Linked DNA regions of Drosophila melanogaster. The main gene of each other region encodes a partner of the protein of the gene in region 3 in a complex. Each region holds a gene or a part of one and is shown on either strand. Other genes may lie near its edges.

What was found.
Region 1: MED21 (region 3) and MED18 share a complex: the UniProt entries of both Drosophila melanogaster proteins name them as parts of the mediator complex.
Region 2: MED21 (region 3) and MED19 share a complex: the UniProt entries of both Drosophila melanogaster proteins name them as parts of the mediator complex.
Region 4: MED21 (region 3) and MED16 share a complex: the UniProt entries of both Drosophila melanogaster proteins name them as parts of the mediator complex.

Annotation. Positions count from the first base shown.
Region 1 is NC_004354.4:1,862,040-1,868,969, forward strand, and holds MED18 (mediator complex subunit 18), read left to right. Parts: upstream 1-3,869; 5' UTR 3,870-3,974; coding exon 3,975-4,099; intron 4,100-4,146; coding exon of another isoform or gene 4,147-4,169; coding exon 4,170-4,456; intron 4,457-4,523; coding exon 4,524-4,765; 3' UTR 4,766-4,848; downstream 4,849-6,930. Other genes in the region: Gcna (germ cell nuclear acidic peptidase), read right to left, coding at 289-604, 664-921, 988-1,666, 1,730-2,068, 2,131-3,697; Pex5 (peroxin 5), read right to left, coding at 4,969-6,675, 6,748-6,885; CG14803 (uncharacterized protein), read left to right, coding at 6,884-6,930. UniProt on the Drosophila melanogaster protein: Component of the Mediator complex, a coactivator involved in the regulated transcription of nearly all RNA polymerase II-dependent genes.
Region 2 is NT_037436.4:17,840,798-17,849,421, reverse strand, and holds MED19 (mediator complex subunit 19), read left to right. Parts: upstream 1-2,920; 5' UTR 2,921-3,230; coding exon 3,231-3,668; intron 3,669-4,527; coding exon 4,528-4,642; intron 4,643-4,707; coding exon 4,708-5,168; 3' UTR 5,169-5,697; downstream 5,698-8,624. Other genes in the region: CG7430 (uncharacterized protein), read right to left, coding at 277-342, 406-1,284, 1,348-1,875, 2,184-2,225; CG5567 (uncharacterized protein), read left to right, coding at 6,006-6,147, 6,865-7,715; CG5577 (uncharacterized protein), read left to right, coding at 8,039-8,135. UniProt on the Drosophila melanogaster protein: Component of the Mediator complex, a coactivator involved in the regulated transcription of nearly all RNA polymerase II-dependent genes.
Region 3 is NT_037436.4:25,112,942-25,120,200, forward strand, and holds MED21 (mediator complex subunit 21), read right to left. Parts: upstream 3,006-7,259; 5' UTR 2,888-3,005; exon of another isoform or gene 2,784-2,887; 5' UTR 2,763-2,783; coding exon 2,721-2,762; intron 2,665-2,720; coding exon 2,278-2,664; 3' UTR 1,983-2,277; downstream 1-1,982. Other genes in the region: Set1 (SET domain containing 1), read left to right, coding at 1-630, 1,093-1,726, 1,783-1,956. UniProt on the Drosophila melanogaster protein: Component of the Mediator complex, a coactivator involved in the regulated transcription of nearly all RNA polymerase II-dependent genes.
Region 4 is NT_033778.4:22,177,415-22,186,392, reverse strand, and holds MED16 (mediator complex subunit 16), read right to left. Parts: upstream 3,256-8,978; 5' UTR 3,183-3,255; coding exon 726-3,182; 3' UTR 501-725; downstream 1-500. Other genes in the region: Vps35 (vacuolar protein sorting 35), read right to left, coding at 73-132; CG11275 (uncharacterized protein), read right to left, coding at 3,864-5,117; CG11170 (uncharacterized protein), read left to right, coding at 7,906-8,952. UniProt on the Drosophila melanogaster protein: Component of the Mediator complex, a coactivator involved in the regulated transcription of nearly all RNA polymerase II-dependent genes.

The DNA.
Region 1 (6,930 bases), on a different chromosome or scaffold from region 3:
TCTTTCACTGTAAGTAATGAGTCCAAGCATCGCCTTTACCAACACCGCCGGCCGACACCGGCTATGCAAAATCGAGCTTTACAGCACTAGCTTTTAAATGTCCGTTTAATTTTAATGGAAACCATGTTTCTGGTTAAGAAAATATATAATACATTAAACAAAATATACTACTTCTACTACTTCGCACGAACTGAGATCTCAGTTAAGTTTTTCAAATTGTCTATGATATACCAAAAATGGTTTAGGGCTTGGAGCACATAATTTAACAAAACTCAAAAGAGAACCCAGCTAGTTGGACGACTCGTCCAGTGTCAGCGTTTCCACTCGGCTGGCGATCGACGCCGCTGTCTCCTCCGCCGGCTGACCCTTCTGCTTGGCGTACTCCACGCTCAGGATGCGCATCACCTGTGCGGCAGTCATGTTGTCGCGCTTGTGTCTCTGGAAGTTGTCCTTAACGAACTTAGCAAATCCCTTCGCCTCGCCCGCCGGCGTGGATACGGTGTTTCCTTGCTTGTCCTTTTTGTTCAGGAAGAGGGTGATGGGTCCCCGGCAGATCCTGCAGCGCAAATCTTCCACCTTGCGGGATCGGGAATGGGCATGTGACCTGTGATGCGTAAAAACTGCATGACAATAATATTCTTTTTATCACTTGGGAGAACTTACGCTTTGTCGCAGCTCAGGCACTTGTAGGTATACTTGAATTCAATGCTATAGTTGTGGCAGACCTTGATCTGCGGGAGATCGGGGAACTTGTCGTTGGCTCTTTGTGCCCACATCTTCCACACCCGTCCGTGTCCACCCTCGCCATTGAATACCCAGGCCGCAGCATGGCAGAGTTCGTGTATCAAGGTGCAACGCAGGCGGTCCGCGGTAGTCAGCACTTTGACGCTCAGTTCCACCACGCTGCTACGCTGGTTAAGTCTGCAAACAATATATATTTATCGAATTCAAGGAGGATATCTGGTTGTCTCTATAAGAATCACCCACTTGCGCTTGTTCATGCACCGGCCGGCAGTGTTGCGCAGCAATTTGGACCAGGTGATGGGCACATCCAGCTCGTTGTTGAACACCTGGGCGTTATACATCTTGTAAAGATGCTGGGCCAGCTGATCCTTATTTCTTGCGAAGTTTTCCCGATAGAAGAAGGCCTCGTTGTCCGCCCTATCGCGGCTCACTTGTCCCTCCAGGGATTTCAGAAAGCCGCACTTGCCGCCGCTCGCAACGGGTGAGAGATCCTTCTGCTTCCTAGGTTTTGGAATCTGCTTAGTGGATTTTGGGGGGGTAGAAACTTTTGGCGGTGCAGATGTTTTGGGCGGAGCAGTGCCTTTAGGCGGAGCCGTTTTTGGCGTAAGCAACTTGAGAATTGGGCTCTCGTGGGGCGTTGTCTGACCTTGCTGCCCAATGCCAAGCTTCTTCTTTACCTCCTGCACTCTCCTGTGGACTGGAGTCCCGGGTAGGTAGTCGCTCTCCAGTTCATCCAGCATGTCCAGGTCCAACGCCCTGTTTACTATCTCCTTAGCTTGGTTATCGTTCTCGAATCCTGCGTTAGGGGTAAAAAGTTGGCGACGAATGTTTGGCTGCTGCACAGGAGTGGCAGGAAGTTTAGCCTTAACGCTGGCGCGACATGATCGCAGTATGTCGTCCAGGCGACGGTGACATTTTGGCGCTAGAATAATGAGTTACTAAAACATTTAAGTCAGCCATTTAAAATACTAATATCAACTCTTACACGGCGAGTCCTGGTCGGGATTGCTGATCACCTCCACCTCGTCTTTGCTCAAGTCGAGATAGGTAAGGTCGCCTCTCTTTTGCTTGTTCTCCTTGTCCTTATCACTGTCGCTATCACTACCGCTTTCGCTAAAAGTGGCATCTGCATCCTCGTCGTCGGAGGCGTCTGTCCCGCTGTCGGAATCTATGAGCTTGCGCCAGCGATCCTCGTCTATATGATTGGTGCGTGGGCGTGTCAACGGCTTTTGAGTCCGCGGACGTCTCTCCGTTTGGACAGCGCGCATCGGAGGCAGACGAGTCGAGTTTAAAGGAGTCTGATTTGTGCGCAGAGGTTTAGTAACTGGGGATTAAAGCGCGTGTGACTCAACGGTTGGAGGATAAAAAGCATGGATAAATTCTTACATATGCTGAAGTCCCCGAGAACACTTTCATCTGGCTTGGGCTTCTTTTTTTTAGCGGTGGTTACCGCTGTTGCTTGAATATTCCTGGGCCTCAGAGGAGCCTGTTTACCGCCACTACCACTGGAGCGCTTTAGAGTGCGGATCACATCTGGTGTCTGCCAAGACTTGCCGTACAATTGATTGAGCAGCTTTTCTGCGTGGGTGAGAAACTGCTCATCCTCGGATGCATCATCCACAGACAGCATGGATTTTTGGTGGCTCTGAGGGTCCTGCTGCTGGTGCTCTTGGTGCTGCACCTCCTCCGAGCTGGGCAGGGACTTAGTGGCCCTGGGCGAAGAGTAATGCTCATCGTCGTCTTCCGCCGAACTTGACTCCATAGTGGGAATGCTGATTTTAATGTTGATCTTCGCTGAAATATTAATACTGCTGACCTGGATAGAACCGTGTTCGTCCCCTCCCGATGTGGAGGAACCAGAGCTGGCCTTTTGCGGCGTGAGCTCGCCCTCGCTGCTGGTTTCCGGTATTTCAATGGATTCATCAGGAACGGGCTCATTGTTGTGAATCGTCGAGTTATGGGTCTCAGAACTATCAGAACACAGGGTGTTGGGCTCGGTGTCATTGTCTGCTAAACGCTTGCTGCTGTATGTGGGCTCAAGCTCCTCCGATCCGAGAGTATTCGCCTCCGTTTCGTCGTCTGCCAACCGCTTGCTGCTATCCAATCGAGTGGCATCTGCTGAGCAGATGGTATTCACCTGCGTATCGTTGTTCGCCAGTTGTGTGCTGTTGTAAATCGGCCTGGTAGTGGGTGGCTGCCAGTCCTCGTCGGTGGGCGACATGGATTCGGTGTCCGCATCGGCTAGACGGGATTGCCGCTGGCTGGAAGAGAGGGGGGGCGGTGTCAATGGGCCATTCCACTCCATCTCGCGTCGCTCTATGGACACATCGCGCAGAAAAGCCTCGATGCGCTGCACTTTTTCGGTTGTGAGCATGGGCTGTGGTATGTCTTCCTGGCCGGGATTAGCCACAATTTCCCGTTCACTCACAGCCATGCTATCGGGAGGCAAGGGTTCTTGCTCATCCTCGCTAGAATCGGATATGGTGATACAGGAGGCGGCGTCGTCGTCGCCGGATACGTTCTCTTCCGTAGTGGAGGAAATGCAAATGGAGATCTCCGGCTTGGCCGAGTGCTCCTCATTTATGGGCTGCACTTTCAAATTGCTGATGCCAGCGGACAGGAGCTCTACATCGCCCACATTTGCCACATCCTGGCTGCAGCCGTCGGCGCTCAGCTGCAAGGCTTCCATGTAGTCGGAATTGTCGAGTTCTGTGTCCTCCGTATTTGCCCCGCAGGACGGAGCGGGTGCTCCCACATTGGCGCGCATGGGAGCTGCTGGCAGTTTCCTTGTTTTCTGGTCGTTCCTCTTTTCTGGATGATCCTTCGGCGCATGGGACACCTGGAGTCGTTTTTTGTGGGAGGATAGCGTCAAATTGGCGAACTTTTGATTGAAGGGAACTTTTACTTTGCTCGGGTCGACCGCATTGAAGAGCCTATACTTATGATCCGCCATTTTGGGGGCGTCGTTGGGGCATTTACGGTAAATCAATCTCTATGAATATGCTTTAAGCAAAATTCGTATTTGCTATTATTCTGTGCGCGTCGATTTACGTTCATCGTTATCGATAGACTATTTGATTTTCCGGCATCTAGCTAGTGCTGTTCGAAAATGTCTAAAACGGCATCACTAGTAAAACGAATTCTTCCAAGGAAATGAAACTAAAAACAAAACCAAACTACTGCTCAGTTAATTTAATACCATAGTACACCCAAACTTACAAAATTAGCCAATGGCGATTGTGTCGTCGGCCCGTGAGTCGCTCTCCCATGCGATGAACAACCGCTTCTTGCCCAACCTGGAGTACTTGCTGCAGGGATCTATCCTGGATTCCGCCGTGGAACACTTGATGCACAGGTGGGAGACCCAGTGTCAGATTTGAATCGTTTGCACCCGACTAACAGTCTAACCGCCTACCCACTATCAGACTAAAGGGACTCTGCGACAATGTGGACACCTCGCCGGAGCCGTTTCACGATCTGGAAGTGTGTATGAGCCTTCGCCAGCCCAATGCCAACCAGCCGCTGCTTCTTCGCGTGCGCCGAGCCCTTGGTCGCGATGCACCCTTTCAGATGCGCTACCTAGGAAACCCCGAGGTGGATCTGCGCCGGCCTACATTGGTACGCAGCTGCATGGACTGCGCCTGCACCAATGGCATTTTGGAATTCCTCACGGAAATGGGCTTCCGCCTGGAGTTCGAGTACATAGCAAAGGGTTGGAATCATGAAATATATTACGCTTGGGTTGCCAAAATGGATAGTGACAAATGGACTTATTTCAGGCTATATGTTCCGCAAGGGGCGCATGAAGATTACCGTCTCCAAGCTCATTAAGATTGTGCCCGGCAAGCAGCAGGACATGGCCAACGAGCCAATCTCACAAAGCTACATAGTGGAACTCTCTGTGGTGGCGCCAACGGGGCAGGAGAATGTCGGCGAGGAAATGCGCGTGTTTGCCGAGCAACTAAAGCCACTCGTGCAGCTCGAGAAGATCGACTACAAGCGACTGGGCGGCATGCCGTAGTTTACAATAAAAGTGCACATCGCATTTATCCAACAGTTATTTAATTTCTTAAATGTAAGAAAATATACAAATTTACAGAAAAGAACCGAGAGGGAATGATTACACTGCCAGAGTAAAAAATATCTCAAATTCAACCTTACACACCCACATGACACGACAACAACGGACTTTCCCAAAGCAGTGATAAAGAAGCTGCGGGGCGGTTAATCCTTAAAGGCCTCATTAAGAGCCGCCAGATTGCGATCGCTCACATAACTCTGGAGATCGCTGCGGCCCATCAGCGAAATGACCATCTTCAGCGTACTCCAAATAGACTCGGACATCTGGTTCTGTCCTCTAAAGGTAGCCGCCATCGCCGCATTGGGCAGCTCTCGGGCGGCGTTAGTGTGAGCCTGCATGGTAAGCGCTGTGAGTAAGTGCTCCACAGCTTCCTTGTAGGCCTTAAGGTTCATGCAACATACGCCCACGTTGTAACGCACACGGATGAAGCCCGGTTGGAGCTGCAGCGCCTGCTGATAAGCCTCCACCGCCTCCACGGAGCGCGAGCCGTTGGCCAAACTGGCCCCCAATCGGTTCCATGTCTTCGCATTTTGGGGATCCACCTGCAGAGCGGACTGGTAGCAGTCCACCGCCTTGTCGAACTCCCCAGATAGATTGTAGAGCACGCCGAGGGCATCCTGGACTTCGGCATCCACCTCCGAAGGGTGCTGTCGAACGGCTTCCAAGTAGATCTGCTGCAGATCGCGCAGCTTACTCGGACCAATCAGCGACGAAGCCAACGAAGTGCCCTCGGCCTGCAGCTCCGGATGGGCTGCGACCAGGTGCTGATACTTGGGATGCACTGTCAGCCAGTTGCACAGCATGCGCACGGCGTTGTTCTGCAGGCCCTCGTTGGTGTAGCACGCGGCCAGGGCCATCAGGACCTGTTGGTTGTCCGGTTGCAAGTCGTAAGCCCGCTTAAGTGCCGCAATGGCCTGGGGATCCATTTCGTTCTCTGTCTGCGAAGTGCCCAGCAACTGCCAGACCTCAGCGCGCTCCGGTTGCTTTTTGGCCGCCACCTCGAAACATAGAACTGCGCTGGGTATATCCCCTTTGGACAGGTACTCCTTACCCTTTTCAAACGGGTTCTCCACATCAGACATGGGGTTGCCCTCGGCGAACTCGTACTCCTTATAAGCGTCCATATTGTCGTTGTACTCCGACAGCCACGGATGCTCGTTCTCGTCGGCCAGCTTCTGCCACTCGTCTTGCAGCCGCTCCCAGAACTTTTCGTTGAAGTTGGCGGCGGTTTGCTCTTTTTGTTCGGTGCTGCGCTGGTAGTCGCTGATCCAGTCGTCCAGCGATTCCCCCTGTGGCGCCTGTGGCAGATGATCTGTGATTATAGTTTCCATGGCGGAGTCAAAGAAGGGGTCCTGTTGCTGTCCTGCCGCAATGGGCATCAAAGGCTGACGCAATGGCGGCAGGGACCGAAAGTTCTGGCTACTGATCAGGGGCTCGTCGAAGAACTCCTGGGCATGCTGCAGGTCCTGCTGCTGTGCCTGCATGTGGATCATCTTGTTGGGCAGGGCGGGTGCCAGTCCGCGGGCAAAGTCCTGTCCCCACTGCTCCGCCTGCTGAGAGTGCATCTGCTGCTGCGGATTTCCGTGAATATTTATGTCCCGCATCTCCTGGAGCAGAGTGTCCATCTGAAATGACTGCGGTGGGGCAGTGACCTGTCCCAGGAACTCGTTGATCAACTGGTCCTCGGGACGAGCAGCGCGCTCGAAGTGTCGCTGCACATAGCCCTCATCCTTGTGGGCAACATCGCGGGTGAACTGTCCGCCCAGTTGCATGAGAGGATTAACTCCACCGCAGTCGCCCTCGACCAATGGGCGGAAAGACATGGTGTTCGAAGTGGAGATGCTACGTAACTGGGGCAACCAACGATAAGAAAAGGGGCCAAATCAGGTCCAAAACAAAAGTCCAAATGTCACAAAGATTACCTGTTTATCGGCCGTTATCGAAGCTATCGGCTTTGTGACAGTGTTGCACAGCGCTCTAATAATAATAAAATATATCGCCGCGCAAAATCTTATCCGCCAGAGAATTGGTTTCGAACGCCAAATCCCCGACTGCACCATGGACTACGACCTTTTTCAGTCGGATGACGAGGAGATCCTGGCTAC
Region 2 (8,624 bases), 7.3 Mb from region 3:
TAACGACATTGAAAAAGAATTAATCTGCAGAACTGCAGTTTCGAGTTTTCAAACAGTGTTGTATTTATTCTAGCTTAATACACATATTACATTGCAATTAACGCCTGGCGCCATTACCATTATTTATATTTTCCACTTTTCTGTTCCTACATTGAGAGTTACAAATATGCGGAGACTGTCGTTTCGGCCGTCAGGATAATTTTTCGAATAGGGGTTATTCAAAGATTTCAAACGCGGTGCAAAATTCTTCACTATCTGGCAGAGATTGGGAAGTGCTTAGAAGTTGATGGGTTTGCCAAAGGCAGCTGCCACATTGGCCTCACGCAGGGCCTCGGAACATGTCTGAAAGAAGGAATTGTGCGCATTAGGTTCGAAAGGTTCAAATCAGATTAGGTAATCACTTACTGGATGCGCATGGCAAACGCGGGCAACGTCCTCGGCAGCGGCTCCGTACTCCATGGCCAGCACAGCCTCGTTAATGAGCTCGCCGGCACCAGGTCCGATAATATGGGTTCCCAGGATCTTATCGGTGGCCTGGTCGGCCAGAACCTTGACGAAACCGTCGGTGTCGTTGTTGGTCTTGGCACGAGAGTTGGCCAGGAAGGGGAACTTGCCCACCTTGTAGGCAACACCCTCCTGCTTCAGTTGCTCCTCGCTCTTGCCAACCCACGCGACCTCGGGATGCGTGTAGACTACACTGGGCACGCAGTTGTAGTCGATGTGCACGTGGCCGCCGTTGATGCCCTCAATGGTGATGAGGCCCTCATCTTCAGCCTTGTGCGCCAACATGGGTCCGTGGATGCAGTCGCCGATGGCGTAAATATTGGGCACCACAGTTTGGAAAGTGGCGTTGACGGGGATCCTGCCGCGGTCATCCTTAACAATGCCCACGGCCTCCAGACCCAAACCTTCGGTGTAGGGACGACGTCCAACACTGACCAGCAGGGCGTCGCACTGGATCTCCTCTTTCTCGCCAGACTTGGCGTTCTCCACGGACACGGTGACGTTGTCGCCGCTGCGAGAGGCAGCCGTCACCTTGGTGCCCAGCTTGAACTTAAGACCCTGCTTGGTGAGCACCTTTTGGAACGTCTTGGAGACTTCGTTATCGATGCCCACGCCGCCGATCGTATCCATGAACTCAATGGCAGTGACCTCAGCGCCCAGACGCGACCATACCGAACCCAGCTCCAGGCCAATGACACCGGCGCCGATGACAACCAGATGCTTGGGCACCTTGGCCAGCTTCAGGGCGCCAGTGCTGCTCACAATAACTTCCTCGTCGATCTGTGAAGGTTTTTGAATGGCATGCATTAGTAATCAAGCGCGCTGTAGAGGTTTTGCACTTACTTCAATGCCAGGGAAGGGGGTAACCTCCGAGCCGGTGGCGATGAGGATGTTCTTGGTCTTGACAGTCTCCGTGGAGCCGTCGGATTTCTTAACCTCCACCTCGTTGGGATTGACGATGGTGCCGAAGCCCGTCAGCTGTGTGACCTTGTTCTTCTTGAAAAGCATGGCAATGCCACCGGTCAAAGCCTTCACGGCGTTGGACTTTTGACCCATAAGCTTCTCCAGATCCAGGCTAACGCTGCCGCAGCTAATACCACGTTTCTCCAGATCACCGGAGTGGGCCATGTGGTAGTAGTGGGAGTTGTTCAGCAGCGCCTTTGAGGGAATGCAGCCAACATTCAGGCAGGTGCCGCCCAGAGTTGCCTCCTTCTCCACGCTGACCGTCTTCATGCCCATCTGGGCGGCCTTGATGGCGGCGACATAGCCACCGGGTCCGGAGCCAATCACCACGATGTCCGCCTCGTGGGTGCTGGAGTAGCAGCGGGCGTTGAGGGCACCCAGAATGGCGGCATTGGTGCGCAGAGGAGTCTGTAAAGACGGCAGATTACTACATGTTGTGGCACCTTATCATTTATCACGCCAGTCGCACGCATTTCGCACTAATCTTCGGCCGACTATCAGCTGATAATTGGCCTAATTAGCGACCTTGAAAACGGGGCCAAACAAATCCCCAAACGCCAGTGAATCACCCACCGGGATCATATGAGCACTGCAGGTGATCCAAGTGCATTTTCCAGCCTTTTCCTGCCCATTTCTCGACCCCCTCGGTGAGGTTAGATTGCATAACTTGAGGGGCGATGGCGTTTGGGGAATCGGTTATGTCGCCCGATCCTTACCTTGGCTACTGCCGAAACAACATGACGGAGCGTGAATTGCATGGCTGGTGCGGGCGAGTTATGAGGATAATCGTTATTTAACTACAAACACAACACTAGTTTGATGTGTGTTTTTCCGACTGTTTTTCGTGTTGTGGGGCTCGGAGCGGTCGCAGGGCTGGCGATGTGCATTCGATAGTGGTCATATGATGGCCGCGATGCTATCGATTGTTTTGGTGATTTTCCACTCTGTTGGAATTTGAAATTCTAAAACATTTTCGTATGAAAAAGATGTGTATAAAAATATTAGCTTGATGATCGTTCAAAATACGATATGTCCGTCACTCAATTGCTAGTTTATACAATATTCACTTTATGGGTCATTTGTTGTAGCAAAAGCTACCTAAAAACAAGCCAACTATACGTGTAAGCCGGCTTTTATAGTTTTGGCACCCATTAATTAATGTTTTTGTACGTATAAAATAAACTGTAATAAATAAACTGTAAAATAACTGTTTTAAAAATATATAACTCAACGTACATACGATACATATATAATAAGAGTTCCAAAGTAATATTAACTTTATTATATCTATAGGTAATTAAAAATGTATTATACGATGAATATTCGATAGTTTGCCCTACAGTACAACCCTGTGTGGTATTCCCCATCTGGGATATTTCCCACAACACTTTTGGTATTTTCACGTCGCGTTCATCTCGCGTTTTCGTTGAAGCCTCAGTATTTCGCTAGCTGTCGCAATGCGGTCACACTGGTTCGCGGACACAACAAGATGGCGAGACTTGCCCCCGAAATCTGTTAGAAAACGCCACAAGAGCAAATAATTAGTTCAGTTTTCGACCAGAAAAGAGTCAGCCGAAGTGCCGGGCAGACGCGGCGCATTTTGCAGAGTGTGAGCTTGGCCAGCGTTGCCCGAGAGCCGCGACAGGCGACACCTTCTGCTGGCCTTGCCTTGTTGCTGTGCCCCTGTGTGCGTGAGCGTGTGCGGTGCGGTGCGATTGTGTGCGTGGGTTGCCAAGAGTGAAGAGAATCGCTGAGTTTCCAAGATGATGAGCAACTACGGCAACATGATGGACTCACCGAAGTCATCGCCCCACGGCGGCGGCCGATCACCCGTGGTGGCCCGTCAAGACTCATCCGGCACCCTGAAAACGACCATTTCGCTGGGCAAGACGCCAACGATCATTCACACGGGGCCATTTTACTCCATGAAGGAACCACCCGCCAAGGCAGAACTTACCGGCGACAAGGATCTCATGACCGAGTACGGACTGCACCACACACTCACCAAGTTCAAGGAGAAGAAGTTCAAGGAGTCGCTGGCCTCGTTTCTGCAGAACATCCCCGGCATTAACGACCTCATCACGCATCCCGTGGAGAATAGCACGCTGCGGAGCGTGATCGAAAAGCCGCCCATTGGTGGAAAGGAGCTTCTTCCGCTGACTCCCGTGCAGCTGGCCGGATTCCGCTTGCATCCCGGACCGGTTGGTTTTTCCAATATGCTTTTAATTCGCTTGCTCAGTTTGAAAAATGACGAATCTTTAGATACGGCACATTGAACATCTTAGAATACATTTAGACGCTATTCAATGCTTTGCGTCTCTATACATTTGCATGCATTAATTTCGCTTTTTAAAATTTGCATATGAAATTTGGATTTAAGTGTCCTTGCACAGACTGATCTACTATAAAGTGTTATTTGGTCGCACCTTTTCTGTCACTTATTTCTATAATCACCGTAGTATTTTAGAGTTGTAATTCATTTTCCTTATGTTCAACAACAAATTTGAAACACAAATATTTTAGTCATTAATCACAAAAATTACTTAAATTAACAAGAGTGTAAATGTTGGTTTTCCCTTTAAACCTCTTTTGAACAGTGTATATTAAGTCAGTAGTTCGCAACGCAGTGATCTATATGAACAGCTGAGTCGATAAGGCCATGTCCGCCTGCCCGTTTTCTTTCAGTTTTAAATTTTTGTTGCAAGTAGTGCATAAATCAGAACGCGCCAGTTTAGGCCACTAATTCATATTGCTGCCATATGGTTTAATATTATGATATTCAAAAAAAAAAAAAAAACTAACCTTCCTTGTTGACGGATTGTCCTTCCTTTCTTGTTATTGAAATATTGGCATTTAATATTATTGAGAGTTTTCTTTCACCCTATATGCAATCTAATAATAATAATAATTCATCTTAAAAGGTTTCGTGAAATATTTTTTACATGTCATATATTTCAAACAATGGATAAATCGTTACTAGAACAAATTGCATAAAATATATTATTTTTTTCCTCTGCACTTTCACATTGCTAATTTATCCGATTCTGGTGCTCCTTTCAGCTGCCGGAACAGTATCGTACCACATATGTCACACCTGCGCGTAAACACAAAAACAAACACAAAAAGCAAAAACACAAAGACGGGGTGACCACGGGACAGGAATCCACGCTGCTCGGTAAGCAATCTGCTGAATTATCGAGCAACTCGATCACACATAATCCAATGATAACCATCTTGCAGACTCGGCCGGCCTGGAGACTTACGAGAAAAAGCACAAGAAGCAGAAACGCCATGAGGACGACAAGGAGCGCAAGAAGCGCAAAAAGGAGAAAAAGCGTAAAAAGAAAAACCAGAGCCCCGAACCGGGCGTGGGCTTGCTGCCCGGAGGAGCGAGCTTGGGCGGAGCAGCGGGTGTAATGGGAGCCACTAGTCTGGGATCGCTGGGAGGAGGACCTGGAGGACCCGGGCTGTCCAGCCTTAGTGCCAGTATGGGACCTGGCGTTGTGGGGAACATGAATAGCTTCTCCTCATCGATGCAGATGCAGCAGCAACAGCAGATGCCCATGCAGCAACAGCAGATGTCAAGTGGCGGTCTGCTGGGATCTGTGCTGGGCACTAGTGGCGGTCCAGGTGGCGGCGGCGGAGGAGGAGGTGGTGGCGGGGGCGGCGTCGGTGGGAGTCTGCTTATGTCGCAGTTTTAGGCAGGATCCTTTAGCAAAATAGACTTGGCTCATTACCTCTCATCAGCAGACGCACCCCAAATGGCAACATAAAAAAAACGCAGAGGGCCTCGGTCCTCTACATGCAATTTTCTCGATATCGTTTCGTGTCCTAGTTATTAATTTATGATTATTGTAAATGTAAAATAGTTTATTTCTGTAATTAGCCAACAATTTTTCGTTCGTTTTCGCGCTAGCTTAATGAGATTTATTTAAACGCAAGTTATGGTACAAAACGCAAGAACGTTTTCGCTCTCGATTCCAGCTCTTCCCTCCACACAAACACACCCCTCGCCACGCCGCCACAAAAACGCTGCTTTGCAACCTCTTTAATTTGCTTACCAACCTTGTAACGTGTGTAGGGTCAGTATTTCAATTAAATTTCTGCAATGGTTTGTTCTTCCAGCAAGTTTATAAACACAAAAGAAAGCTGAGATTCAACAAAATAAAAATGCCTGTACTATAAGTAATTAATTTTAGTGATTAGGCACATAAAACAATAAACAAGCATAAAAATGATCAAAGTGTGTGTTTACAATAGTTTGGGGAGCTTAGTTCATTTTTCGAATATAAGCATTTGTTGCACAGAAGTTCTGCTTCCAAGGAGCCCTTAAATTCAAATTTGGCGCCAAACACTTGTTAGCACTCTGTTGACTTTAACATGGCGCATTAACAGCTACGCTGAAATCTGACAGATAGTAACATAGCCTTAACAGGCGCCAACAGCTGCTTTAATTCTCAGGGAGTTTCTCGCAATCGAGAGTCAATTAATAAATTAAAAGTGATGTGTATAAGATAGTCGTCGCTGCAAAGCCATAGATGAGTTGTAACTTCGCCAGATTTTCGCGACAGGCAGCTATCAACATGTACAAGCAGTCGTGCACCAATCTCCTGGAATTATCCTCCGCCAAGGTGACCGAGTGGCTAGCAGGCTTCGACAGTGTAATAACCGACTGCGATGGTAAGTCGGTGGTGGGGATGAGATACTACTAACTCGCACCCACCCAGGATTCCCCCCAGGAAGTTGCGTTACATAAAGATATGTGTATACCACATTCTGCCCAAATACGTCAGCAGCCAATAGTTTCTGTATTGTGGCTGCGTCGTTTATTTCAATGTCAAAGAGTGAAGTGCGTGATATGGCGGGAAGTCGACTTTCGGATGCCCTCATATCTTGTTAATCATCGTTATATTTAGTAAAGAGTAAAGCAGTAAAGAGCCGTTTGATAAATTCCCTAATGCTCATAGTGATGAGCCCTAAGTTTATTAATATTAGACAATCTTATCAATTCAAGGAAATCGTTATTATATACGCAATATCAAAAGTTGTGTTCAACCCCATTATTTATTAATTTTATGCAATAATGCCTTCTTTAATCATAACAGCTTTTATTTCTTTTCGTTTATGTATCTTTGCGAAGTTACCAATTTACTTAATTGGAATTAATTTCAAACTGTCCTCTTTGCCTTTGAATGATTAATTTATCAATTTTAGAAATAAATTACCAACAATATGAGTATACTTTTTGTAGATATTGAGAAATCAATAACGCCCTTTATAAAACTAGCAATGGCATTAATAAAACTAACAACTACAAAGTGAGAACCTATTTAGCACCGTTCTTTTTTTAATTTTAAGAAAATTCTTCTACAATATTAATCCATTTTTTCACATCAGGTGTCCTTTGGATCTATGGCCAGGCCCTGGAGGGCTCTGTGGATGTGATGAACCAGTTGAAGGGTATGGGAAAGTCGATCTACTTTTGCACTAACAACTCGACGAAGACCCGGTCGGAACTTCTCAAGAAAGGCGTCGAACTGGGCTTTCATATCAAGGAGAATGGCATTATATCAACGGCCCATGCCACAGCTGCGTACCTGAAACGACGGAACTTCAGCAAGCGGGTATTTGTGATCGGAAGCGAGGGAATCACCAAGGAACTGGACGCCGTGGGCATTCAGCACACTGAGGTGGGCCCGGAACCCATGAAGGGATCGCTGGCCGAGTTCATGGCACAGCATTTAAAACTGGACACGGACATCGGAGCCGTGGTCGTTGGCTTCGACGAACACTTCAGTTTTCCCAAGATGATGAAGGCCGCTTCCTACCTAAACGACCCGGAGTGTCTGTTCGTGGCTACCAATACGGATGAGCGTTTCCCCATGCCCAATATGATAGTACCAGGCAGCGGGAGCTTCGTGCGGGCCATTCAAACCTGTGCGGAGCGGGATCCTGTAGTGATCGGGAAGCCGAATCCTGCCATTTGTGAGTCTCTGGTCACGGAGAAGAAGATCGATCCATCGAGAACTCTGATGATCGGAGATCGAGCCAATACGGACATACTTCTTGGGTTCAATTGCGGCTTCCAGACCCTGCTTGTAGGTTCCGGAATCCATCAGCTGAAGGACGTGGAGCGTTGGAAGTTGAGCCAGGATCCCGAGGAGAAGAAGCTCATACCAGACGTGTACCTGCCCAAGTTGGGAGATCTGTTGCCGTCGATCGTGAACAGCCTGACGGACTTGAAATGAATCAGTAATCAGTAAATAGTACGGACATGTGTTTGTATAGATTTTACATTTAACTTCAATAGACAGGAAAGATTATTAATACTTAACGCAAATTTATAGTGCAATTTATACCACAGAACAAAGAATATTTAAATAAATTCAAAAGCATTTTGTGAGACGGATGATTTAACCGATATGCCCGACTCAATTTGTTTTTCCGAGCGAGCTTTGTGCGAAAGGGAGATAGCAGATTTTCCCCAATCACCGTGAATCGAAATCAGCCAGCCCGTCGCCGTCGATTTAGTTGAGTCGCAAGCATTTGGCGAAGCGGTCTACGAAGCAAAATGTCCAGAGGCGGTGCTATCGACTTGACCGGCCTATCCGAGGAGCAGGTGAGCGAGTGGCTCCAAAGTTTCGACACGGTTCTCTGCGACGGCGACGGTGAGTCTCAAGGGCGGCTAAGGTGCCACAGAGAGAGGGTTCATTGGGCTTGTGAGTGCTGCTATGGAGCTTTTACCAGAGTTGTCGCTTCACTGAAAAAACAGAGTATAAAATATCGATGGTAATTTACATGGGTAAGGGGAAAAGCTTGGCGATCGCGGTAGCTAAAAGTTTACATTTCATCGGCCTGCTACATCGATTGTTACTGTTATTCATTTTGTAAGTGGATAACTTTAAACGTAAAATCGTTAATAATTAGAAAAAGTTGATAAGGCTTAACGCTGCTGAAATCATTTTACATTTTTAGGAATATATTTATACCTGATCAATAGGAATATGTTTATACCTGAAAATCTCTCTGATCTCTCGCAGATCATTCCAATTTAATGTATAAATTTCCCATGTACTATTGGGCTTACCAAACAGAAATTTCGTTCGTAATTATTTTAAAATAAAGCCAAAACTCGTGTTAATTCCAATATTATTTAG
Region 3 (7,259 bases):
TGAAAGTGCAAGTAAAGTTGACACTACTCTAGTCAATATAATAAGTGTTGAAAACGATATAAACGAATTTGGCCCTCATGAAGAGGGGGATGTTCTTACAAACGGTTGTAACAAAATGTATACAAATTCAAAGGGTAAAACCAAAAGAACTCAATCGCCAGTGTATTCTGAGGGCGGTTCCAGCCAAGCTTCTCAGGCGAGTCAGGTTGCGCTAGAGCATTGTTATTCGTTGCCGCCACACTCAGTTTCTTTGGGCGATTATCCATCTGGTAAGGTGAATGAAACTAAAAACATTTTAAAACGAGAAGCAGAGAACATTGCAATTGTTAGCCAAATGACGAGGACAGGTCCCGGCCGACCTCGCAAGGACCCAATATGTATTCAAAAGAAAAAGAGAGATTTGGCCCCCAGAATGTCAAATGTAAAGTCTAAAATGACACCAAACGGAGATGAATGGCCCGATTTGGCACACAAAAATGTACATTTTGTTCCGTGTGATATGTATAAAACTCGTGATCAGAATGAAGAAATGGTTATTTTGTACACTTTTTTAACAAAAGGCATTGATGCCGAAGATATAAACTTTATAAAAATGAGTTATTTGGACCATTTGCATAAGGAACCGTACGCGTGAGTGTTATTAGTTATGTTATTATATATTATTATACCCGTCACTCATAGAGTAAAAGGGTATACTAGATTCTTCGAAGGCACCGTCTCCGACCATACAAAGTATATATATTTTTGATCAGGATAGTGATGTCCGTCTGTCCATACGAACGTCGAGATCTCAGGAATTATAAAAGCTGAAAGGTTGAGATTCAGCGAACAGAATCTAGAGACTAAGACGCGGCGCAAGTTTGTTGACCCATGTTGCCACGCCCACTCTAACGCCCTAAAGCCGTCAAACCGGTCCACACTTTTGAACAATTTCTAGATTTTTTCTCATTTTATTCCCCAATATCAATATCCAGAAAAATTATGAAATATCGCGTTCGCATTCACACTAGCTGAGTAACGGGTATTTGATAGTCGGTTAACTCGACTAAATCATTCTCTCTTGTTTTTATTTTATTGACATTTGTTTTCTAGTATGTTTTTAAATAATACTCACTGGGTGGATCACTGCACAACTGACCGAGCTTTTTGGCCACCGCCATCAAAAAAGCGAAGAAAAGACGACGAACTGATCCGACATAAGACTGGATGTGCGCGAACTGAAGGATTTTACAAATTAGATGTTCGAGAAAAGGCTAAGCATAAGTACCATTATGCTAAAGCCAATACAGAAGATTCCTTTAATGAAGATCGGAGCGATGAACCTACAGCACTTACAAATCATCATCACAATAAATTAATTTCTAAAATGCAAGGAATTTCCCGCGAAGCTCGCTCAAACCAGAGAAGACTTTTAACAGCCTTTGGTTCTATGGGTGAGTCTGAGCTTTTAAAATTTAATCAGCTAAAGTTTCGGAAGAAACAGCTTAAGTTTGCAAAATCTGCGATACATGATTGGGGATTATTTGCAATGGAGCCCATAGCTGCAGACGAAATGGTTATTGAATATGTTGGTCAGATGATTCGACCTGTAGTTGCTGATCTAAGAGAAACAAAGTATGAAGCAATTGGGATTGGGAGTTCCTATTTGTTTCGAATTGACATGGAAACTATAATTGACGCAACTAAATGTGGAAACTTAGCTCGGTTTATAAATCACAGTTGCAATGTAAGTAAGCTGGATGTTCTGACATTATGTTACCAACATAAAATTTTGTTTTTCAGCCGAATTGCTACGCTAAGGTTATAACTATTGAATCTGAAAAGAAGATAGTAATATATTCAAAGCAACCCATTGGTATCAACGAGGAAATAACTTACGACTATAAATTTCCACTAGAAGACGAAAAAATACCTTGTCTATGCGGCGCCCAAGGATGTCGGGGTACACTTAACTAATACTTATTTACAACAATGAATTAAATATTTTAGAGCACATAAATTTAATTTGTTCATAAAATCCAAAGTGGGGTACGTGTAAGTATATATAGTTTTTTTTATAACTTAAAACTATAATTAATTATTATAAAAATTATATCAACGAGGTCAGAGGTGCTGTTCAAAATGGTTTAGGTCTAAATTAAGCTAAAATACTTTACTTATAAAAACAATATGTATATACTAAAACCCATTTGATCTGTAAACACGAACGAAAATGCAATAAATACATTATCTTAAATTTAAAAATAATTTGCCTTTATACAAAAATGTGTTAAGCAGCTATTGTAAATCATGTTTGAGTGTTATTTGCATATCTAATTGAGCCTGAGCAATGCATTCCAAAGAATACTGCATTTTTTCTAGCAAAAGTTCGCCTTTTTGCACTACTTCCTCTAGGTCTCTTGCAGTTCCCTGGTTTTCGATCTCGAGCCTCTTAAGGCTAGAATTTTGGAGTTCAATGGAGCTGTCTTCATTTGGAAGAGACTCGATTAAGGTGTCGATGTCTTTAGCACATCGTGCAATTAACTGTGCAAATAATTGGGCATAGTCTTCTTGCGGCGGACATGGGATTGGCGTTTGGGGTCCAATGCGTTCAAAATTAACAAATTTACTTGGAAGGGACGTTTGTTGAATTACACCAATAGCATTGCAGAAGTGCTCCGCTTGCTGCAATGATTATTTTACATAAAAAACTGGTTATTTCTTAATACGAAGTCACTTACCTGATTAACGGTGTCTTGCAATTGTGTAAGCCGATCCGCCATTTTACTACAGAGTTAATAATTCTGAAAAACAAAAAATTATATGGAATTAAGTTTGATTAGCCAGTTCAAATTTTGATTAACATTTTTAATATCAACATAACATAATCAACATAATATCAACATACAATGACCGTTGGTGATTTTTATAATATATAAGCATTTATTTATCGATTGATTTTATGTCTTATTTACAGATACCTCACAGCAGCGACTATTCTCTTAAAAAAAGAAATGCTATTAATATGAGTTCCACACTAAAACGTGATTTCTTTCAATGAGACGAATTATTCTTGTTCACACTGTGCCATAATAATGTCTTCATTCCAACGATATAAACTACCATAAGATTGTCGGAAACAGTGGAATCTCCATAATATATGACCACACGTTGCACATCGATCCCTCTTGTCTTGTTCAAAATCATCACAATTTCGGTTATAACAAGGAAGCAGTTGGTCTCCAAGTAGTCTGCAACCTCTCTCACACAATCTTGGTATATCCTTGAGGAGGGTATATCGATTTCAGTTATAAGCTTGCAACGAAGTGAAAAAAGCATTTCAGTCCAATTAAGTGGGTATAAATATCAGTAAGAACAGCCGTACCCTTTTTCACGATAATTATTCTTTTAATTTTTAACATATCTAAATCGGTTCACCATATCTTAAAGATGTCATATGAAAAATTTTAAAGCTACCTCTCTTGTTTTTTAAAGGTTTTTAAAAGCAACAAAGATTTTATGATACGAACACTTTGTGCCTCCGATTAGTTTTCTTGTGAGGGGATTTGAATGGGTGGTCAGTTTTACTAGGTATTTTAATTTTCTTCTCAGTTATTATTTCGATAAATAATTTGATTTTTTTCTCTCTGTGTATGTCTTCGTTCCGAAGGTATCACGCTCTAGTCAGAATTCTCAGAATTGTTGGCTGTTCTCGCTGAATGGATGCCCCACAGGTCGGAGCCATAAGTCCAGATTGGTTTTAAGACGGAGTTGTATAGGAGAGCTTTGAACTCCACGCTAAGTGGAGAGCGAGCATGAGCCAGTGAAGGTTCCTTGCATCTTATTGCGACTTCAGTAGCTTATGTATGTTTTGGAACAATAGCTTGGCTAGTTTAAGCAAAAGTCCATCCAGAAACACTGTCAAATGCCTGCGCGACGTCTAGTAAAATGGCTGTGTAATATTCTCGATGCTCAAAAGCAGTACGAATTTCTGACGTGATTCGATTGGCCTGTTCGATGGTTCCATGTTTTTTCCATGACGAGGGCTTATTCCCAGGAGTAGCATTTTTTCAAATAAATTTTAGAGATAAGTTAGTTACTGTATCGGTCTATATGATGATGGCTGCGTTTTATCTTTTCCTGGCATTGGAATCATTACTATGGTAGATTTTTTCCATTTTTGAGGGAAGTATCCATGCTTGGCGATTGCGTTGAACAACAAGCACATGTGCAGAACATCACACTGGGAGTTCAATAAGGATTTTTTGAGTTATTAGGTCGAAGCCAAAATCGCTTCAGTTGCTTTTTGATAACCTTTGCTAATTCACATAATCTAAGTTTGCTTCTGCTAAAGGAGGGAGAATAATGACTTTATAGCAGGATTTGGTAGAAATAAAATTTGTAAGTGGTCAGCAACTGCTCTGGCTCTTTTCTCATCACTGTCTTTTCTCTACAAAAGGTTCTTAGTGCTGGTGGGCATACGTCACTTTGCACCCGAAACTAGAATATTTTCAACAGTGTCCGTTGACTTGTCTATATTTTCCTTAGCAGATAATGCCGGCGTTAGTTCTATGTGTGATCTGGGTCTGGGATTTTTCTTGGGTCTGCTGGTCAGTATGTATTGGATAGCGTGGTGGGCAGTAGACTGCGGCTAGAGTCATTGAACCATTGTTGAGTAGTTAGACTATGGACGTAGATTGAGGTGGTTTTTATGCGATTTCTGATTAGTATGCCAGTGCCTCCAAGAGCTTTACCATCTGAATGATTTGTGAGGTGCGTTTCTGATAGTAGCATTACTCCAGTGTTTTTTTCGGTAATGAACTGTGTGAGTTCTTGTGTATGAAGTGAATAGATATCCGTAGGGAAGCCAGCATGGGGATTTTGAAGATACAAGAAGTTGTATCAGGAAATTTTGCACGTTTTGATCGTTATGAAATATTTCATGCTTTTCTGTAGGGATAGCATCATAGCTTCAATGCCACTTTGTTCAGTTTGTTGCATATTTGTCAATTTATGTTCGGAATGAGCAGTTCTAGTCGGTGAGGCGGGGACTTCTAGTCCGGATTTTAAGGCGCTAGCGAAGAAAATTCCAAGAGTAGTGCTTGGGACAGTTAAGGGTGGTTGAAACATCGAATGCGGAGAGCAGAAATTGACTTTGTTGTATGTATTTGCTATACGTTAAACCACACAGCAGTATGCCTTGGTGTGGCCGTATTCTTGGCAATCGCCTTCTGCTTTTGTTTTGGTTCTTTTTTTACGTCCATTATTGTTGTTGCCAATGGTCGGTGTTGCAGAATTATTTACAGCTGGCACAGCGATTAGTTGGGCCGCTAACGAAGTTGTTGTTGTGGTAGCAGTGACAGTTTCTAGGGAGGTCACTGCACTTGTTATTGCAGTGTTACAGTTACCCGGAATGTTCGATTGTGGCTGTGTGGGGAGCGGTGTAGGAGAGGCGGTCTTTTCGCTCCGCGAGAGCAAAAGCTTGTTTTTCGAGTTAGTTGAAGGTAAGGGTGCTCGATCATCGAATTGCCCCGAAACGAAAGCAATGTATGCATGGTTGCGTTGTAAAGAGAGACGGCGCTCAACTTATGAAGGCATTATTGGCAGCTTGTGTTACCGCAATTGGCGATTCTAGTTTTAAGGCAGATGGTTCGTCAGTAAATAACTACTCGACTGACATTACTGCTGCCATTGCTTGCAATGTCGTTGAAAGTCAGTCGTGCCTAAACATTGACATTTTCAGCTGAAACATATTCCTAAATCTGACGCTCGCGGACCCAAAGTGTCATCGTTTTCTACCCATAGACTTAATGATTGGCGCTAGTCTCTTCTACGAACTGCTGTGCGTCGGTCAAGTCAATACCACATGCAATTCTAGTGTCTTTGGTCGCACCTACACCTTTGACTTGGAGTTCTGCTGTTTCCTCTGCAAATAAGTCGCTCTCCAATTATTCATCATATTCTTTAGTAATTTATGCATAAACAATACACGACAGCGCCACTCGGTCGGTTGGGCGGGAGGTGTGGCCGTGGGACCCGTGCAATTGATAAAAAAATAAATTATCGTTCGAGATCGCTGCATAGAAATCGTCTTTTCTTTGCAAATAGCTAATAGAAGAGCTTATTAGTTAAACAGTATTAGTTTTGTAAATTTCTAACGGTATTCCTAAAAACTTTTTGCCACGCCCACAAACCGCCAAAAACTGCCTCGCCCACACTTTTTAAAAATGTTTTTATATTATTTCGTATTAATATTAGTCTTTTATCGATTTTGCAAAAAAAAAAGTTTTGCCATGCCCACTCTAGCGTGAACAAACCGCCCAAAACCGACCTTACCATTGAAAAATGTTTGATTCTTCTTCGTTTTATTGTTTGTCTTCCGGCATTTTAATCGGCATACCAAAGACACTTTGGTCACGCAAACACAAACAAAACGCCCAAAACACACTTTTGAACCATTTTAGGTTTTCCTCATTTTTTAAAATTATTCTAGTGTCTTTGTTTACTCATGCGTCTCTAATGTCTCGAATAAACTTTGCAAAGAAGCATCGAATCTATTTTCTGTGCTTAGAAAAGGGACATATGGCGCGGTTCTGTAGGATTGATGGAATTTAGTTTACTGTGGGCTTACAATCCTTAACTGGTCTGCTATGGAAGAATTACGAGGTGAGGCTGACAGGCAGCTATAATATGAGGGTCATCAACATTGACAGCATACAGAGAAATTGAAAATGGCTATGTCAAGATGATACGTACAGTGACAGTGACAGTGTCTGCCACACTTCGGTGTCGAAAATCCAAATGAACCTACCAAAATACGTATAATCTACGTAATCTATAATGACGCAGCCAAGTCCCGGGATTAGGAGCTGCTTCAAGGTTTCTTGCAGTACACGTTCCTGTCGGAAGTGTGTGTACTTCAGGGAAGCAGCAGTCGGGGTCTAAAGATGGCCCAGGAATTGTCGACAGTCGCACTGAGGAATTTTATAAGCTGCCGTGGACCGGTGGCCAGATTGAGGAGTCAAAACGGAGAAGATGTAGAACGAACTGTCATCAAATTAAATGGAATGAAAATTTCAATGCCGGGCAGGAGGCGTATGCGAGCGGATGGTCCACGGGTTGAAGAAGGTACTCGCGCATACTAATAAAAAAATTAAGGTTAGTTTCAAATATTTTAGGTCTTTTTATTCTGCTTTTTACCACACTATGGTTCCTATTCAAATACAAATTACAACAACTATTCAATACAAATTTTATTTGTGTGTGTAATTTTATAGAGA
Region 4 (8,978 bases), on a different chromosome or scaffold from region 3:
CAAATTGAAGATAAGTGGATTAACGATTACACATATCCAAGATTCGTAATCTGGGATTGGCGGAGTATTTACCCGGACGTTGGCGGCACTGGGAATCTGGCCGCCGTACGAGGAGGAGCTCCAGGGATACATGGACGTGGGATTTGGACCGGGGGGGCGTTGCTTCTCACCACAGGCAGCCCTCTTTTGACGTCGACAGGGTGGGCACTCAGCACTCGGTTAAGCCTGGACCTGGGGCACTCGGTTCTCTAGGAATTTCGACTTCTGGCGACTACAGGTTGCACCTCGATGCACTTACCATTACTGCAGCGTTAGGGCGAAGTGAAATAAGCCAATTATTCTGAAAATATCTATTTGCAGAGGAGATATCGATTGCCGACAGCCGACAGACACATTGGACGTCCTGATATCGATTGACATGCTAGTGATGCAAGTTCTTCGATATGTTGTTGTTGTTAATATCAAACCGTTAGCAAATACACCAACCACAATTCATAGATAGAGTTAAAAAATATATTTTATTCAAATAAATTTAGTTTTGAAATAGTGAAGTATGGTGGTGACTTCTCTGTGGCTTAAGTTTTTTGAACGAGCACGTCGTGCAAAGAAGAAATATATTTAGTATATTAAATTTCTTGATTTCACTAAAATTGCTGGCAATCATGTACTTTTATTTGAAGCTTAAATCATACTTAATAACTAAGGTCATTGCTCACATAGATTTACTAGTGAACCTGCTTCCAAAAGCCCCCACAGTGGCAGTGCAGCCACTTACTAAACCACGCCTTGAGGGCCGACGTCTTGGCCACTTTGCTGGCGTTATTCACGAACACGAATCCGCAGCGGGCGCATCTCCGAATGTGGCTGGGTCGGGCGCCCAGTTGGAGATTGCTCACGCCATCCTTCACAGAGCTGGCGAAGACCACCTCCTCCGTCTCCATGTCCTGCAAGCAAGTTGGCTCCTCCATGGAGGTGAACTGCAGCTGTCCCGACTTTACGGCCGCGAATCCTTGGGCACTCAGCAGCGTGGTGGGGTTGAACTTGGTGGGCTGGGGAATTAGGAGCTGCTTGGAAAGCAGGCTGCACTCGTCCAGCAGCATTTCGTCCGGTTCTGCAGGATTCTGGGCCAGGCGAGTAAGCAAACGAAACAAGATCACTAGCACATCGATGTTGTCCATCGTCTTGGTGTAGACGGGCAGGCACTGGGTGTTTAACAGGCCCCAAATGCGGATCATAACCAGCAGCTCGCGCAGACTGCTGATGGCCACGATGTCTCGGCTGATATCGTAGCTAGGCCGCTTTCCGGAGAGCTTGGTCTTCATTACCTCCTCGGGCAGACGATGCAGCATGTTGAGTGCCAGGTCGGTGACCCACTGAATCAGTTGCTGTAGACTTTGCAGCATCACCGGCTCCACTGTAAAGTCCTTGGCGTCCAGGTTCAGCATCACGGTGTCCACATCCGGAATGGATTCGGCCAGCTTGATGGCCAAGTTATCGGCAGGTCCTTTATCCTGGAAACCCAGATCAGACGGTCGCAGGAGGCTCTTGAATGTGGTGGATATTGCGTGTAGGATAATGAGATTGTCAAACTCCTGCTGCTGCATGCGGCATATGTTGGACTTGAGGGCCAAAAAATTAGCATAATAAAAGTGCCGCACAAAGGAAGGTTGCCGCGTAAAGTTGTCGGTTAGCTTCTCCACCAGAGCCTCCAGGTTGCCTAGATTAAGGAGTAGCACATCGCTGGCATCGCAACCTGTAACGATGCAATATTCCAGAAGTAGCAAACCAGATCCTCCTTGCTTCGGCAGAGGTGCCTGCATGGCGTAAAGTTGTGCATGGCTATCAAAGATTAGGAGAATTTGGCTGCTAGGTGTCAAGTCGCCGCTAACGAACTTTACTGCTCCACTGGCGTCAGATAACCTATCAAACTGGGTGTGATTAAGCTGCTTCATCGAGTTGGGCTCCAGCACCTGGACGCTGTTGTCCTGCAGAATGGCGTACACTTGGCAAGAGTCCGGCGTTGATACCGATAGTCGTGTAACGCTGATATCCGCCAAGGATGCATTTAGTTGCACTTTGCCCACCTGCTCCCAGCTTTCCGATTGCACGAACTCATTTGGCTTGTTGTTGGCACCTCCTCCACCCTGGAGAAGGGCGTGGACACTTTGGTGACGGCGTGTCAATGTCCATTGCTCCAGTTGGCTGCCAGCACCATCTGGACAAGCGTAGGCTATAAAAATCACATCCTCGTTGGCTATTCGCGTCCATTTTAGGTGACTGATCCGCCTCCCGTCAAGAGGACCCAGAAATATGCTGGTCTGGGACTCGGATTTGATGGCCAAGTGCTGCTCCAGACCCAGTTCGCCCTCCAATGAAAGCGAGACCTTAAAGCATTGCACCAACTGTTGCTGCCAGCCACAGCTGAAAGCGATATTAAGGGCTCCCGATGGACTTGGCGTCATGCTGCAGTGTTCGATGAAGCTGCGCGATATGCCGATGCTGTGGAGCGCGGGTGTCAACTCGACGACCTCGTGGGCAGGACCATCAGCTCCTGCGGCGGATGTCTTTTGGATTGCGGGGAGACTGAAGGCGGCCAGCAGGCCTGAGGAAGTGAGTAGCACGCATCCCTCGCTGGCCACTCCGCCAAATCCGCTGAGAGTGGGCCTCTGCTGCTCCACCCGCTCGAACTTCTCCGCATAGTAGGTGTGATCCTTCTTCAGCGCATTGAAGATCACTCCTTTGCCATTCTGAAAGAACTGTGCTTCTATAATGTCCTCGCTGGGCACGGTGGCGTAATACTGCAGCACCCATAGGTTAATTGACTGGTTCCTCGGCTGCCAGATCTCGACGCGACCGCCGACGTATCCAAGCAGCAGTTGCTCCCCATTGGGACTCCACTGGAGGACGCTGATAAGCGATTTGGAGGAGCACACCTTATAGTATTCCCACGGCGTCACGATGTCGCACACGTACACATGGCTGTTGCTCGCGCCTACGGCCAAACCCGCTCCCGGCAAGGATCCATCGCCGGCATCTCCTCCGTGGGAAGCCGGAAATATGGCGCTCTGGAGGGCGCTAAACGCAACGATGTTCCGTGCGGAGACTGAGCAGAGGACCTTCTTGTGCGGAAAAACGCTGTCCTTGCTGAACTCCTTGCCCTCCACTTTGTACAAAATCGTCATTTTTGCAGCGTAAACAAAAACCAAAGCGGACTATTATTGTTTTGCACCCGGCGTCTGCCAACACTACTCTGTGAAGAACTTTACAGCACTGTTTCGCGGGTGTTTAGCGCTTTTCCACTGCATTTTTGATTCCATTGTTACTGTAAAATGTTTGGTTTTTATGTTTAGATTTAAGATAGTGCTCATTAATATTTTAATTCTGAACAGCAAATAAAGCTTTTACAGCGCAGCAGCTTTAAATCATTAATCATTTAAACAAAAATTAAGTTATTAAATAATAGCCAGTTTCTCACTGTTAATTATTTTACGGTCGCCCCAATTTAAGCAAGAATTATTATGACCAGTTGGCCACACTGTCCCTCGTTCAATTTCGCTTTGTTTACATCTGGTGATTATATTATAGTTTATTGTTTTACCGATTTTTTTTTTTTAGTGGCCGCAACAACAGGTGAGATAAGTTTCCGTATTCGCAGCCAGGACGCCGTTCCCCGATCGAGTTCGATTCGTTCGCCAAACAAAAACGGCTGCAAACCGGCTTTTTATATTTATCAGCAGACGTCTTGTGTTTGAAGCGATATTACTCACAGTTTATTGAACTCTGAGGCAGCGTACATTAACTTAGGGCAATAAATACATACACGTCTTACGGACTAACTAATTATGATATCGCGGCTGAAGTGGCTACACCAGGTTGGCATAGCGCAGTCCCTTGACGAGACTTCCGCTGAAGCTGTCCTCGTCAGTGAACCGAATTCCGTCCGCCTGGCAGGACTGCAGGCTGCACGGATACTCGGCGCCGTAAGCACTGCTGTCCCAGCGGATCTGCAGCTCATAGGTCAGCTCCGGATTCAGCACACAGGCCTCTTCGCGTCGCCAGCCAAGATGCAGGTTGCAGTTGTACTTGGTATTCTGGCTCTGGACAACGTGACTCCATACGGGCGACGTGGCCGGACCCTCGCTTTCAGCGGGCACCTCGCAAAGGTCCAGCCGCAGCGATTCGCGGTACTCCAGCTGCTGGACGTGACCCAATAGGTTGGGAGTCAGCCTGCTGTTCAGGACCAAGCCCATCAAGGAGATAAATCTAGAGCACTTTAGACGCAAGCGAAACAGCGGAGTTTCTGCATCCACTGTAAAGGGCCTGCAGGCCTTGTAATAGCAGCGCTCCACCAAAACCACCGGAGTTAGGGCAGGTGATTCCAAATCACTAGCACCCGAAGCCGCAGGCCAGTCGCTTGTTTTGCCACCCAAGTCGTGCACTACTAAGTCGGCATCGCTGGGACCCAGACCCAACTGCTCGCACTCCTGTCGTGTCCACTCATAAACATACCAGATGAGTAACTTGTGCGGTTCCTTGCACGCCGCTATTATGGCCTTCACACACTCCTTGGACACGTGCACATAGTGCTCCTTAAGGTGGCTCATATACTGTCCATTATTAACACAGCATCGCATGAAAAAGGTCATGCAGACCTCCAGCAACCCGTCGAGGCCCATGCAAACACTTAGCTCTAGAGCGGGCAAGATATTGGCAAATCGCAGCTTGCGGGTGATAACCATCAGCGTGTCGGCGATCAGCTCCTCCAGCAGATACTTCTCAGCGGCGTAGTACAGCTCAATGCAGGCCACCAGCTCCAGGCCATTGTAGTCAACGACGCCCGTGTAGATGTACTCCACCAGCACCTTGAAGATGGCAGAGCTTATGTCGTGGATTTCGATTTCCGGCTCGGGCTCGTTGTTTTGCATGGGACCAAAGAACATTGCCTCGAAAACGGGACTGGCGGAGCTCAGGATGAGCTTGTGGCATTTCACTTGCTCCTCGCACACGTGGAACACGCAATCTGTGTACTTGGCTCCACGGAGCAGCTGCCCGTATCGCCTACCCAGACCGCTGCTCACACTGCCCGGCTCTTTGCGATCCACCGCCGAGATGCTCATCTGCGAAAGGGGCAGAGAAAGGTGGTAGATATTAATGAGCCATTCGAAAACCTGTTTCCAATTTGCCCGTGTCATAGGCGGCCATCAATCATTCGAAGTATAATAGAAACTATTCAGGCGCGGGCGAATAGAAAGCGATACGAGATGTAAAATCAAAAGAAATAGCTAAAGTTTTGTTAGTGCGCAAACTAGTGATTTCGGTTGAAATGAAAAAATAGATGTTTGGCCAAAACAGGTCTTTGCTGTGTTTAATACGTTCTTGGTAATTCTTAATGTTTATTCAGTTAGTAACTCTTTTTAGTTCGAGCTAAAAATAACTGAAAGAGTCGTAACACTTAAGAAAAAATCAAATTTCACGCTTCCAATTTCGCTTGCTATTTTATGGCTATTAATTAAAAGGGCGTGTGCCACAAAGCGAAAAGTTTAAATGTCCGATAACGCAATCCCCTTGAAAAATAATATGTAGTCAAGGAGGTTTGAGTGCCTGCAGTCAACGTGACGTAATTCGATTTGTATATTATCACTTACGCGACATGCATCAGATTTCCTTGGTCATGGCCAAGAATGCAAATATATAAACACATTTGTATATATATATATATATATGCGATCGCACACTTGACAGGCTTTTGTTTATCAATAAGCCAAAATAATACTACGACGCGACTGTTTACCAGCCAGCTGGTTGGTTGGTTAGTTGCTTGGTTATTCATATATTGCCGGCTTGGGTTTGCTATTTGTTTTCCCAGCGGGTACTATATGTATATAACCGGTTTAAAGTGTTTGTACAGATCTCAGTTGGACAAGTGGGGCTCAGGCTAACGCGACTTATATGGGGGCCCTCGAAATCAGCGATGAGCACATGTCGGCGTTATCTAATGTGTAATTTATGGGTAGCTAGCACGGTGGTTTATGTGCCCTCCTCCAATTACTGCTAACTGACAAGCAAAATAACTCTCAATAATATATACACACATGTAGAACTTGGATATGGGCTGCTTTCAAACAATATGTGGCCCGAAAATAAGCTGAGTGCTAATTCCCTGACTCTGAAAATTTCGAACTGAGCAAATTTGATTGCAAAGTCAATCAATATTCTGGACTTCTGCTGCGCACTTTGTTGACTCGCCTCAAATCGCGATCTGCTCTGTTCTCAGTTGCGTAAAGTTAGGCTAGCCCAGGTGGTGAAGGTTTCACGTGCGACCTTAGGGCTAATTTATGGCTTTTTAGAACATTGGAATAGTTTACGAGCTAAGTGGACATTTCCAAGAAGAACACACACACCTTTTGGCACTGTGACAAATTCCTTTTCAACCAAGCACACGCGAGAATCGTAACAAAAGCAATTTGTGTATGTGAAAATCGAGTTGGGGGAAATTTAAAAGTGAATTTCACGCGCCCTCACGGTGAGGCTAATTGAGTGATCGCCGCGTCGTCGTCTTCTTCGTCTGAACTTGACCGATATCGCGTCTTTATGCGCCAGGCCAGACCAGACTACCCAGCTGTTCCAAGAGTTCGGATAACTTGAGCGAGAACCAGAATAGCGACAACCGTCGAGCGCAACGCGCCACCTTCAACTGATCTTACTCGGTTTGGGGAAACGTTCTCCAAGCGATTTCGATTTCAGGTCTCTCCTCCTCTGCTGCGTCTCCCAATCTCTCAGTGCGTTCTCAGCGATCTTCGGTCTTTTTTCGCACGAATACATTTGGTAGACGATTTCATCGAGTTTCCTCTTATCCCGAAAGGTTTAAATATCGTTCTGACGAACACTTTCAGCCAACTCATACATGCAGTTCCAGATGCGTTTCCCCGAAATTAGTCGCTGGGACTTGAACACATCCAGGTAGTTGAGACCGACCAAGCCCAATTCCCGAATTCGCTGGGCGAGCAGGAAGTTGAAAAAGGCGTTTGTGGAGCCCAACTGTTCCAGTTCGTTGAGTTGGAGTTTTCGTATGGTGCTGCGGCTAAATCTTACACGCGATTTTCTTTTGATAGTCTGAGGCACTGGCGAAGTCGTGGGCAATGGTGCTGAATCTTTAGCCGAGTCATTATGCTCCTCGTCGTCGCCAAAGAATGAGCCACAGAGCAAGTCCATTCTGGGCACACTTAATTTTGAAGTACAGGGCAAGGCGAGATGGAGTGCGTCTTGGAGGATGCGACTGGTATCGCCATAATGGCTACTCTCCCACCTCTGCAGAGATTACAAATTAAGCGTCTGATTCGCTTCTTGCTCCCAGCGTGATGGCCAACCTTGAACCCATTGAATTGGCTCTTCTTCAGAACCAAAGTTATTTCTGTAAGTCCGTCCCCCCGACGCCATACTCTTCGGACCTTGTGGGATAACCATTTCGGCATGAGCCCAGAAGCTGGTGTGATAAAAGCGATAGTGGTATCATAATCTAATCAGCTGTCATCATGACTAAATTAAAGATCTATAACTTAGACGTGCTTAAAAAATATAATAGAATAAATGGAAGCATTTGGTATTGCTTTTAGGAACTAGTAAAAAGGGAAATTCCATACTTAAAATACATACAGCTTAATAGCAAATTAAACTAAATGTAGCGAAAGGGTATAGACGCTTCGTTAAGCGGTCATAACCAGCTGCCTCTTTGGCTCGGTGCTTAGGTTCACTTTTGGCGTGTAGCTGCCAAACAGGTAATGTGGCCAGTGGACTGGAGGCTGGGCCCTCACGCACATTTCTTTGGATACACACACGTGTGGCTTCTTCTGTTGTTTGGCAAGCCCCTTCATTCGTTTCTCTTCCGTCTCTTTGCAGCTCCCTGTGATGCACCTGTCACACGGCCAACTGAAAGTGGTGCTCATTTTGGCCCTGCTGCAGGAGCTGCAGGTGAAGCCGCAGCGAGAGGTGTTCCAGGAACTTTTCGAGAAGGATCTGCGCTTGTGTCCAGACTGTTTCGTTGGACAGAGTGAGCCGTGCGGGGAAATCTTCCAGAAAATTGCAGAGCCCTCGGATTGGAGTAGACTTGTGAAAGCCATTTCGTTGCTCGTTGATCGCCGAGCGATTTACTTTCTAAGGCTAAAAGACCGGGATCAGGAAGTCCAGCTGGTGGCCAAAAGAAAAATCATTGATGCACAGAGTAATCAGATAAAAAATGTGAAAAAAGATTTCTATGAACTAGAGGAGCGACCTGGTGGTTTTCATCTCTGCCGAACTCTGGCAAGGGAACCCCGCTTTGTTTCGTACTTGGAGCAGCGTGGACATGCTGCCGCCAGTGTGTGGTTCTACATGATGTACTACGTTAGTCCGCTGCTTATGCAGGAACTGCATCTGCAGGGATTTCCAGTGCCTACCACCTACGCCTCCTGCGGACTAACACATTTTCAATCCAATGCAGGACGTACTTTAGCTCATTACGTCGATGCTGAAGAAGGTTTGCGTGTGGAGCTGGCTCTCCAGTTGATCCAGCTCTCCCTCAAGCTGACTTTTGGATTCGCGGACTTTCGCATTATCTTAACCGATTTCACGGCCGATAATTTGGCTTACGACGAAGACACCAAGAAGGTGTACCTCATTGATTTGGACTCCGTGGTCCTGGTGGACGCTTCGTTCGCAGCAGGACATGCCGAAAAGTACGAGCCGCTGACCGGCGAGGGATTCACATTTGATGTCTCTGCATTCTGCTCCGGCCATCAGCTGGATGCCAATATCTACCAGGCGTGCCTTTTGCTAAGGGATTACTTGCTTAAGAATTTGGACAACGAAAAGCTGCAGCTGCTCCTGGAGCAGTGTGTAGCATGCCAAGATGACTTCTGTGATATGCGTTTCCAACATGCTTACGACCTAATAAAAGTGCTGGAAAGCAATAATTAAAGCCAATCGTTGGAGATCCACTAGTA